Callithrix jacchus: one gene and its partners. The protein of the gene in region 2 purifies or fractionates together with the protein of the main gene of each other region. This does not show direct contact. Links are inferred from orthologs where the notes say so. Each region holds a gene or a part of one and is shown on either strand. Other genes may lie near its edges.

Region 1 (3,650 bases), on a different chromosome or scaffold from region 2:
TGAACATGTGAAGGCCACCTGTATTCAGGTGTCTAATTTCAGCTGTCTGGAATTAGATGTGGACTGACCTGGACTTGAATCCCTGCCCCACTGTCACTAGCTGTGTGGCTAGTCTTCAGCAAGTCACTTCTCTCTGGGCCTCAGGGGCACAATGAGTCTTGCTTTGCCTGTGTTACAGTTGTATGTGATTCAGGCATCAAAACATACCTGAGATCATGTGAACAGAGGTTTGCGATGAGAAGGAGGGAGGGGAATGGTCTTATTCTTCTCTGGGGTGGTCAAGCCCCGAGGATAGGGTCCAGTTTCAGGTCTCAAGTCTGGGTGATGGTGAAGCACTGTGCGTGTTCGTAGCAACCAGCGAAGTGAAGAGACAAGAAAATGCTGCCATCTCAGGAAGTCAAACTCCGCAACCCCCGAAACCCAGCAAAGACCAGAGTGCTATTCAGTGTGGAAAATAGATGACTCAAGGGGGACATGATTGCTGTTTCTTAATACCTGAAGAACCTTCATGGGGAATTCTCGATTGCTTGAGGCTAGGGGTTCAAAACCAACCTGGGCAACATAGCAAGATTCTGTCACTATGAAACATAAAAAAAAAATTAGTTGGATGTGGTGGTGCGTGCCTATAGTCCCAGCTACTAGGGAGGCTGAGGCGAGAGGATCACTTGAGCCTGGGAGGTTGAGGCTGCAGTGGGCCATAATTGTGCCACTGCACTCCAGCCTGGATGACAGAGTGAGAATCTCTCTCTAAAACAAAAACCAAAATCCAAAAAACTACAGATAAGTAGAGAGAAGGCAATCACTCCACTATCTATACCCTACTCAGAGACTGTCACTGCTGACAGTCGGGTGCATGTCCTCCCAGCCTTTCTGTGCTGGTGGGTTGGCATCTGCAGACCCCAGCTGCTGCTTCCATTTGAGGCCCTGAGCAGTCTCTGCTGTCACCTGATGCCACCTGGAAATAGAAAATTTCCCCTTTTAACATCTCCAAGAACTGACCTAGCTTTGCTACAAATGTGCTAGTGAGTATGCAGTGAGAATGCCCTTGAGGCTTCCTGGGGGAAGGACCACTCCCCAGGTCCCACCACACGGCTCCATACCCCAGCTTCCCTTCTTTTTTCTTTTTTTGAGACAGAGTTTTGCTCTTGTTGCCCAGGCTGGAGTGCAATGGCACGATCTCGGCTCACTGCAACCTCCGCCTCCTGGGTTCAAGTGATTTTCTTGCCTCAGCCTCCCAAGTAGCTGGGATTACAGGCATGTGCCACCAAGCCTGGCTAATTTTTAAAATATTTTTAGTAGAGACAGAGTTTCTCCATGGTGGTCAGGCTGGTCTTGAACTCCCGATCTCAGGTGATCTGTCTGCCTTGGCCTCCCAAAGTGCTGGGATTACAGGTGTGAGCCACAGTGTCCAGCTCCACTTCTGTTTTTTTGTCCTCCAGAATGAGGGGATTCCCTCTTTGACCCTCATTCTGCCTTGCTGGCCTTCATACCTCATTCTTTGTCATTCGGTAGCTCCCTATGTCTTCCTGCCGCACCTATGCACTCATCAGGGACTCCATCAGACAAGACCTTCCAGTACAGGACCCTCTTCTCCTACTCAGGGGGGATTTGGGGGTTTTCTGTTGTTTCTTGTGCTCACCCCTTGGGATTTTATGCCCCATCCTGAAATCTTCTGCCCAGTTCTTACATCAACTTGCATCAGCTGATGGATATATGCTAATTATTCATCCTTTATAAACATGGACCAATACTGCATGGGCTTTTTTGTAATCTGCTTTAGAAAACAACATATCAGAAGCAGTTTTGAAGAGAACGTGTCCCACTGCCAGCTCTGTTTCAAGATGGGCAGGGCTGTCTCGGGAGGTAGTGAGCTCCCAGTTACTGTGGGCAGTGAAGCAGGAGCTGTGGGACTATTGCTGGGAAAATTGGAGGGTGGGCAAGAAGCCCCCCAAATGCCCTTGCTCTGTGATGTCTATGGGGCAATGAAAGAAGCAGTACCTGGACTATTCTGGACTGACTGGCGAAGAACCCTAACCAGAAGGAGAGGTCTGAGCAGGAATGGCTGGATGCTGGCTTCTGGAGAGAGTGGTGGCTGCTGGCTGGCATTGTCCCAGGCCTGATGGAGAGTCAGAAGGATGCTCAGTAAAGCACAGCCTGACCTGCACCTTCTTCCAGGTCTACATGTTCAAGTGCGTGTGGCGGTGCTACAGATTCATCAAGTTCCTGAACTCGGCTGAGGAGAGGAGCAACTCCAAGATGCTCCGGAAGGTGAGTGTTGATCCCAGCCCTGCCACTCACTCCCTGTGCCATTTGGGTCACACCTCTTTCCCTCTGTGGGCCTCGGTTTCTCTATTTGTAAGATGAGGGTTGGATCAGAAGAAATGTGACCTCTTTCAGTTCTGATAGTCTAAGATTCTATTCATTCACTCACTCACTCACTCACTCATTCATTTATTCAGTATTTACTGCTTCTCACTCTTGGCTAGTCTCATATCTATTCCAAGGGGTGCAGAGAAAACTAAGATGCCACCTCTACCTCAGAGAAGTATATAGTCCAGGGTGAATTCAGACACATAGATACAATTACAACTTGGTGCGAAGCACAGGGACAATAAGCACAGGGACCTGGCTTCTTCTTGGGCATCAGGGAAGGCTTCCTGGAGGAGGTGACAGTTGATTGGTCTTGGAGGGTCAATGGATATGAGATAGCTGGGAAAGAAGAAGGAGCTTTCCAAGAAGAGAGGATGGGGTGCGCTTGGAAACTGCTTATTGGAAAGTGATGGTTTAAATTTCTGGTAACTTACTTTTGTCACCTGTAAGGTGGAGGTTGGATTAGTTAAGACACTTTTGGTTGCAAGTGGCAGAAACCCAACTCAATCTGACTTAAGTAACAGAAGGAACTTACTAGCTCACAGAACTTAGCAGTCAAACGTAGGACTGGCTTGGGCCTGGCCGAGTCCTGACATCAGGACATGATCTCATCCTCTCTATCTCTTGATTCTACTTTCCTTGATGTTGGCTTCATTTTCAGGAAGCCCGTCCCTCGTGGTGGCAAAATGGCTGCCAAAACCCCTAGGCTAACATCCCATCCTCTCAGTAATCCCAGTGGAAAGAGAATGTCCCAGGAGTATGTCTGACTGGACCAGCTTGGGCCATATGCCTGTGCTGAAACCAAAGACTATAGCCAGGGGGATAGAATCCTAATTTGAGTGGCCAAGTCTGGCCACCCTACTGGATCTGTGGGACGGGGCCAGTTCTTCTGAAGGTATATGGACTGTAAATGTCTTCCCAAGGAAAATGGTGCACTGCTTTCAAAATAAGGGGGTCTTCATGCTGAACAGGCAAGTGTGTCCACTACTGGGAAGTGTGCCTATCTCATGCAGGCAATGTGTAGCACATAGCAGGTATCCAAGACCTGTCAGTCATTATCACCATCATCATCATCATCATCATCATTTTGCCAGAGGTGGGAGTTTGGGTCCCACGATCCTAGGTTGGAATTGCGGGTTGTTCTTGACCATACTCAGCCCTCATCTCTCTGTCTCTCCCAGGTGGTCCTGCCATCCTATGAGGAAGCCCTGTCTTTGCCATCGAAGGCTCCAGAGGGGGGCCCAGCACCACCCCCATACTCAGAGGTGTGACCCTCGCCA
Region 2 (3,650 bases):
TTTCCTGTGACTCTCTAATATATACAAATTACCACTTGTTATTATATAAAACAAGTTCAAATGAGAATAAGAGGAAAAAGCAAAAATCTGGTCTTTGTGTATTTTTATAATTTGAATAGTTAAGATCATTATTTTAACTAAAACATAATCTTGGTGATTGGTATCTATTAAAGAAATTAATGCTGATAACACCTCACCCTTGGCAACAGTTTCACCTGTAATAGTTCCTTTTAAGTGTTTAGCAAAATATTTATTTTCTCTTGTTGCCATATCTCTTGTTGAGAAAATTTTTAACACTGAAAAGTCTAGAAGATAATGTAGCAGATACACATATTCTTTATTCAGAATTACCATCATTAATAAGTTACCATATTAATTCCTAGAAATTTTATTTTTAAAAATAAAGTCTTGGCCGGGTGCAGTGGCTCAAGTCTGTAATCCCAGCACTTTGGGAGGCCGAGGCGAGTGGATCACGAGGTCAAGAGATCGAGACCATCCTGGTCAACATGGTGAAACCCCATCTCTACTAAAAATACAAAAAATTAGCTGGGCATGGTGGTGTGTGCCTGTAATTCCAGCTACTCAGGAGGCTGAGGCAGGAGAATTGCCTGAATCCAGGAGGCGGAGGTTGCGGTGAGCCGAGATAGTGCCATTGCACTCCAGCCTGGGTAATGAGCAAAACTCCATCTCAAAATAAAATAAAATAAAATAAAGTCTTAAAGATTAACCTAAATTTCTTTTAGCCAAGCTCTTGGTTCCGTTCCCCAGGGGGAACCACAGTCTTGAATTTGTTGTGTATTCTTCTAGCATATTTTATATACTTAAAGAGCTTAGAAAATGTAAATTAAAATATGCTGGGTGCAGTGGCTCACACCCATAATCCCAGCACTTTGGGAGGGTGAGGTGGGCAGATCACAAGGTCAGGAATTCGAGGCCAGCCTGACCAACATGGTGAAACCCTGTCTCTACTAAAAATATAAAAATTAGCTGGTTGTGGTGGCACGTGCCTGGATCCCAGCTACTCGGGAGGCTGAGGCAAGAGAATTGCTTGAACCCAGGAGTCACAGGTTGCAGTGAGCAGAGACTGCACCATTGCACTCCAGCCTGGACAACACAGTGAGACTCCATCTCAAAAAAAAAAAGTAAAATATTGTTTATATGCCTGTGTTTCTAATTTTGCAACGAGGGAACACTCATTTTATAGAATGAGGTGCTGCTCGATTAAAAAAAACCCTTTTTTTAATTGATGTTGTGGCCCCATAAGTCTACATCTTTTTTTGCTTAACACTGTTTTAAAGCTCTGTGTTGTTATTTATAGATGCAGTGTATTTCTCTTAACTACTAATATTCCATCATATGACTATATTACATTTCAATTTCGACTTCTGTGGTAGATATTTGTCATTCATTTTGTCTGCCTGACATTTGAATCTACTTCTCTGTATGAGGAACCCCCCATCCTATAAGTTTTGGGAGAATAAAGACAACCTCCTACTATAGGCACCATAACTCCACTTGCAGCTAGGGCTTGAGCTTGTGGACCTTGCTCCCTCAGTCAGATGCACCCACAGCAGACTGTTAACTGCTATCTCACTGCTTGAGAATTAGTTGAGAAATTATAAATTATTATTAAAATCAAGTTTGACAAAATAGCTTATTGGAAAAATGTTATTAAATGTACTGCATTATTAAAATGTTGGGAAAATATTAATATGCCATAACTACATTTGAAAAAGAACCTCAAATGTTTAGAGTCTCTTTAAAGGAGGATGTGTATTGCATTTGCAGGTTAAGTTACCTTTTTAACTGCTGCTATTTGTGAGTTCTCTATAAAATATTATAATATGATTTCATAAATATGCTAGGCCACAGTGGAGACCAGTCAGCTGACATCAAGCCAGAGTTCTGCTGGCCCTCAGTCACAAGCTTCCACAAGTGATTCAGGCCAGCAGGTGACCCAGCCGTCTGAAACTGAGCAAGGATTCCTTCCTAAAGGCTGGGAAGTCCGGCATGCACCAAATGGGAGGCCTTTCTTTATTGACCACAACACTAAAACCACCACCTGGGTAACTCTGATACTCTTCCATTTAAATTTATAACAACAATAATCATCTCTTATGTATAGTTCCTTATCATCTTTAAGTGTATATTAGTATAACCTATGTTTTCTAGGATTCATTGAAAAATATATTGAATTCTTAATAATATTATTTATATTCAGGAACACACTTACCCCTCTTTTTAATATTGTTTTGGATTATGATGGAGATACTCATGTTTACTTCCTGTTTCCAGTTGTTAGCCCACTAGCCATAAATGCTTAGGAAGATATGTAGGAATAATCCTTTGCTTTTATATGAGGCTTTCTAGCTCCAAAAAACTTTTGAATCCATATCTCAATATCAGAAAACCTTGCGAGGCTAGGTAGAGCAAGTTTTTTTTTTAAGGTAAGGCTTCAAGTTGTTTAGTGCTTGGCTTACCACTAGAAAAATTGCTCAAAATTAGCAGCAGATGAATAAATTTTAATTAATTATTAAAAGACCAGCACACCTTATTAATAATATTAAAGTAAAAATATATGTAAATTAAACCAAATACATTGAATTTTGTTCACATTTTTAACATTCTGAATTGACCATTAATAACCTCTTTGGGCTTACCTTCCTGTTATTCAAAAATATGAATCAACTTGAACAGATAGCTGCCAAAATGCATGTTCTGGGACTTAGAAATATCACGTGGTCCAATTTAATGCCCCACTCTTTTACCAGTTTTTACGTAGAGAAAACCCCTATAGAGTGACACATTTCCTAAAGAGCAGGCAAAGAGGTGACCAGTTAGCGGTGATCCCTGAGAACTGATCCTTATTCCTTTTGATATTATAGCCTGAGAGTGATAGATTTCAGGAGAAAATATTATGTCACATATTTAGGAAATAAAACACGAAAGGACTTTTACAAGAGAATATTTCAAACGTCCATTGATATTGGAAAACATGGTAATAGACTGACTTTCATTATTTTGAAATGTGTGTGTGTTGTTCTTTATTTACTCTACCACAAAAGGAAGATCCAAGATTGAAAATTCCAGCCCATCTGAGAGGAAAGACAGCACTTGATACTTCCAGTGATCTCGGGCCTTTACCTGTAAGTGTATAGAAATGCTAACCTCTCTTACTTGGCTATCTCAAATATTTTGTATTTTGGGATAGAGTAGTTCTTTATCAGCCTAATTAATCTTATTATTAAAATGTTGATACCTTCTAAGAATGGAATGGAATATGCAATTTAAATTAACCATACAATCAGTGCTATTTTTCTATCCATACATCTAAAACCCTATCCTAAAATAATTGAAATACATTCTTCATTATAGCCAGGATGGGAAGAGAGAACTCACACAGATGGAAGAATCTTCTACATAAATCACAGTATGTTCAATGTGATTTTTCATTATGTTATTTTTTATAATAAATTTTATATGTGAGAAAGAGCATCTTTTTTCTTTTTCTACCCTTCAGATATAAAAAGAACACAATGGGAAGATCCTCGGTTGCAGAATGTAGCAATAACTGGACCAGTAAGTCTCTTTGTACCAGTGTGCTCTGATGGGACTGTCCTCTCACCTGTCTCTTCAAGAGCAGATAGTCA
Region 3 (4,305 bases), on a different chromosome or scaffold from region 2:
ATGTAATTGTGGGGGCCGGGTTAAGATAATGTACTCCCTATAAAAGTAGAGAAATGTCATAATTCATTCTGAGTTAAATAGCCAGTCACCCTCCATCCTTTAGCGTGGGTTGGCTTAACTACTGCTTCCCAGATAGTTTGAAAGTAGGCTCCATGGACAACTCCTTCAGTGGTGAACAAATAGTCTCTACTCTTCCAGAATTTGTATTTTATTGGGAAGATAATCAACAAATATGTACACAATTTCAGGCAGTTATCAAAGAAGCCATGCCAAGGAAATAACCTTTACTCTGAATTCACTGTGGTCTCTGGCTAAGAAACACGTGGCAGAAGGGAAGTTCTTTCTATTCTCTGAAAAGAAGTGTGTTTACCAAAGCATTAAAATAATAAATACATTTTTTAAAGATAAAGTCTCAGGTCTCACACAAATACAAATGAACAGTGTAAAAAATTTATTTACTCATTAACCAGGGACCAGTAAGCTGTCAGAATCAGCTCTAAGCAGAATAAAGCATCCACCTATATCGTTGAATCAAGACAGGGGAATGAATTTACAAATCGATGCAAAATACCTTTCCCCAAGGAGGGGTAAGATACAAGATGAAATCCAGAGGAGGGGTCTTACAGAGTTGTGCAGAGCACCACAAAGAAAGGCGAACAGCAGAATGCCCAGGACGGGGTGCCAAACTGTGGCTGTTTTTTCACTGAAGACATTCGGTAATTTTTTGGTCCATTTCAATGTGTTTCATAATTTTTCCCTACAAAAAAATCACTAATCTCTAAAAACCCAGCAGCTAAGCAGTTCTACGTTATCTTGTTTTCATTTATCCTTAATCCTTTTGCCTTTGGCAGGGTTGGATGGTATTTCTTCGCCCCCACAAAGGAAGCTTCGGAGGGATGAGAGGGTGTAAATCCAATCCCTCCACCCCTCCGCACAGCCCCCCATTTCCGCAACAGGGGTGAGGACACCTCCACGCGGAACTTAGTCCCGCCCCTTCCTAACAGACCCCACCCCTGAACCGCCCAATAATCGAGGGGCGCGCAAAGGTCACGTGACCAGCCCGTGACGCTTCCGAAGCAGTACGTGGCACACAGTGCTCAGGAAAGCCTGTGGTGCTTGCTTTGTGCCATCTGCGCCATCTCGTGTCTCCTGTTTCCCATTAAATGCCTCTTTTCTTGTGGGTCTCATCTCGGGGATGGTGAACTACGGGGCTACAGGATCCTAGGCCCAAGAACCAGCCCTTGCCCTCAAGTAACAGGCGGAGACTGGCTGAGGAGAGTTGCACTTCTAATTGGGCGTGAGGTCTTGTCAATCTCGTAGTTCTTCCAATCAGAAGTCGGGTCCATCCAGTCTTCCGCTCTCCATTGGCCTGTGTGGAGGAAGAGGGGTGGGTAAGCCGAAGTCGCTGCTCTCAATGCGCAGGCGCGAAGGAGCTGACCTGGTCCCAGGCCGAGTGCGGGCTTGAAGACGCGTCGTTTGGTTTTGGAGACCGTGACCGAGCTGTTTGAGTTTGACTGCGGGGTGGAGAACGTTTGTCAGGGGCCCGGCCAAGAAAGGTCCGCAAGATTCCCGATGGTGTCCATGACTTTCAAGCGGAGCCGCAGCGACCGGTTCTACAGCACCCGGTGCTGCGGCTGTTGCCATGTCCGCACCGGTACCATCATCCTGGGGACCTGGTACATGGTAAGGCGGGCGGGCGTGGCGCGCAGGACCAGGGGCCCTGGGGAGCCAGGCCTGGTGCGGAGGGGGTGGGACTGGAAACGGGGTGTTGGGTGGGGTGGGGACGTGGAGGGGCGCTGCTTTTTAGGGCGCGCCAACTCTGGATGAAGTCCAGGGACTCTGGGGAAGGAACCTAGTCCAGGAATCGGAGTGGGGGGGTGGTAAGCATGGGGAGATTGTTCTTCGGCAAGAATTTGAGGAGAAAAGCGAGCTTGGGAGAGCAGAGGCGTTTTAGGCGAAGGCACGAGGGTGCTCGGATGTGGTGGGAATTCCTCTGTTTTGGCTCTTTTTGTATTTCTGCGATCTGAAAGGCAGCCCCTCCCTTTCTCCTACCCAGTGCTCCCTGGAATTTTTTTCCCCTAATGAAACAATTAGGAGCAGACCTTGATAAATGCAGTTTAGTTTCGACATTGTCTTCCGGTTGGGAAAGCGAAAGATCCAGCGGTAATCCAGTTGTCTGTTTCCTGGACTTTGTTTTGTTACACTGCCTCTTTTGCGAGTCTTCAGAATCGCTTGGGGGCGATAGCATTTGCCCGAGTTTACGCCTGACCAGCTTTTGTCCTGGTGCAGCCTCCTCCCTGCGCAGTAGATGCTCGTCGTTGCCGACCCGCTGTTTTTACGGAGACCTTTATTGAAAGGCCTCTCCGCCCTGGCCACCTACGCTGATATCTCCTGGGTTCCAAGATCTGTCCTAACCAAGTTGACACTTGTTGACTGGTGGTTCACTAGTAATATGTTTGTGATTTTTCTTTTTTAATTTACCGTTTATAGTGTCCATGCACATTAAACCTAACTTGTCCTTGACTTCCAAATACGTGATTCAGTTTAGGTAGTTTTAGGTTATTAAGACTTTACAGAAGCTGTGACGAACTTCTTACATGGTCGACTTGGCCACTTTCTTTAATGACGTCGTGAATATGGTTGTGTGGGGAGTGCACCTCGATCATACGGTGCTGTTTTTAATATTTAAGTGAACTGCAAAAGAGGAAGAGAGTTATCCCAGATGCTGTTTTTCTCTGTACTCGCTGCTTCTCCCCACCCATTGTCTTGAAATCATTAGTAAGCATTTGGACAAACGCCAGATGCGAATCATCGTAAATGAGGCAGATATTGTTTCCTGGCCCACCCCCGGGGGACTACCTGACTCCACTTTCCTCCTACCTGCCGGGTTGTTAGTTACCGTCTTGTTTCTGGTGTACATTTAAAAAACAACTCGAATCTTGTGCTGAGTTTATTTTCTTGTTTCCTATACTTTTATATTCAGAAATACCATCTTATTGGTAGAACTGTATCACATTTTCCCACAGAGACTCTTTTGTTCTGTATTTTAACTGATTTGGAATTCCAAACACATAGTTAATGACCATCAGCTGCATTACGTTTCTAACTTCGATTTCAGTCTTCTCCATTTTGCTGAGGGGCTCAGTCTAATTTCTTTTGTTTGTCTTTATCTCTGTCTTCTATTTCCCTAAGTGAATGATTCTAACCTTGAGGATCCTCCAGCCTCTTACTCAATTCCGTCTTCCTCACCCCCAGAAAAGGACCTTCTCTCCTTCTAAACTAAGAGAATCCATCGGCCTGGCTCTCTCGCCTGCAGTCTGAGTCCTCCCGTTTCTTCTCGGATCCTTCCCTCTACTCACAGAACAAAGGGTTCCTAACTCCTTCAGAGTAGTACCACCATTTCTGTTTCAACCATCCGGATGTAATTGGCTGTATTTCTTTTCAGTTTTTTTTTAAGGCAGATTTTTTTCACGCTATGGGTTCAGCTGGAAAATGAATAGAATAGCGGGAGAAATTGGGAACTACAAACAGGAAACTCAAAATGCAGAGAGAAAAACTTCAGCAGGGGCGTTTATTCTTACAAAGTAAGAGCTTACATCTGTTCCCTACTATAAGCCCTTGTTGTGAGAAGGATTCATGTATCTCTGAAGACCGTGCTTTAGTTTCACAATTTTAAAAAGATGCCATAGCTGTTCTTATTTTGCATAGACTTCTCAGGTTAGTGTAAAACATTTTGTTGTAAACCGCTTAAATCATTTCACCTGTCTGAAATTGATTACGAGATTTACTGACTATCTGCAGTGTAAAAGGCTTTGATGGACATACAGAAGGAATAAACACAGGGACCATGTGTCATTTGTCTTCTGTTCTCCTATGACCTGCCAAATGTTAGATTCTCAAATGTTTCTTGTCTAACAGAGCATATGCCCTTAAGATGTTTATGTTATCACAAAGAACTTGGAACACAGGTATGAAAAACTTATGGTACAGTGATGAAGGAGGAGGGGAAGATAATCAGTAATACAAGATTCTCATCAGAATAAGTACTGGAAAAAGGCCATTGGTTTTGTTTATCATAGTGTTGTTGATGACTTTCAGAGGTGCTTCAGTACCATAGCAATGTAAAAACAGTCTCTGCCGACTTGGGGAGATATGTCAGACTTGTGACACAAGACCACCTAGTCCAAAATGTAGTATAATATTTTGAAACTAAGAGGGCTTGTCCAAGCAATGCATTTTGTTCTCAGAAGCTGCTTTACGAAGACAGAAAAACAACATGGGGATGAGTGAGTATTAAATATCCCT

The links.
Region 1: the proteins of NEDD4 (region 2) and LAPTM5 purify together in Homo sapiens (affinity purification with western blotting; 3 studies listed by BioGRID and IntAct, with this or other methods). This does not show direct contact. The link is inferred for Callithrix jacchus from reciprocal best matches to the Homo sapiens genes NEDD4 and LAPTM5.
Region 3: the proteins of NEDD4 (region 2) and LAPTM4A purify together in Homo sapiens (affinity purification with western blotting; 3 studies listed by BioGRID). This does not show direct contact. The link is inferred for Callithrix jacchus from reciprocal best matches to the Homo sapiens genes NEDD4 and LAPTM4A.

What each region holds. Positions count from the first base shown.
Region 1 is NC_133508.1:67,389,131-67,392,780, reverse strand, and holds part of LAPTM5 (lysosomal-associated transmembrane protein 5), read left to right. Parts: intron 1-2,175; coding exon 2,176-2,268; intron 2,269-3,551; coding exon 3,552-3,641; 3' UTR 3,642-3,650. UniProt on the Homo sapiens protein: May have a special functional role during embryogenesis and in adult hematopoietic cells.
Region 2 is NC_133509.1:43,627,838-43,631,487, reverse strand, and holds part of NEDD4 (E3 ubiquitin-protein ligase NEDD4), read left to right. Parts: intron 1-1,865; coding exon 1,866-2,066; intron 2,067-3,065; coding exon 3,066-3,146; intron 3,147-3,375; coding exon 3,376-3,430; intron 3,431-3,520; coding exon 3,521-3,579; intron 3,580-3,650. UniProt on the Homo sapiens protein: E3 ubiquitin-protein ligase which accepts ubiquitin from an E2 ubiquitin-conjugating enzyme in the form of a thioester and then directly transfers the ubiquitin to targeted substrates. Specifically ubiquitinates 'Lys-63' in target proteins.
Region 3 is NC_133515.1:95,163,189-95,167,493, forward strand, and holds the start of LAPTM4A (lysosomal-associated transmembrane protein 4A), read left to right. Parts: upstream 1-1,440; 5' UTR 1,441-1,572; coding exon 1,573-1,683; intron 1,684-4,305. UniProt on the Homo sapiens protein: May function in the transport of nucleosides and/or nucleoside derivatives between the cytosol and the lumen of an intracellular membrane-bound compartment.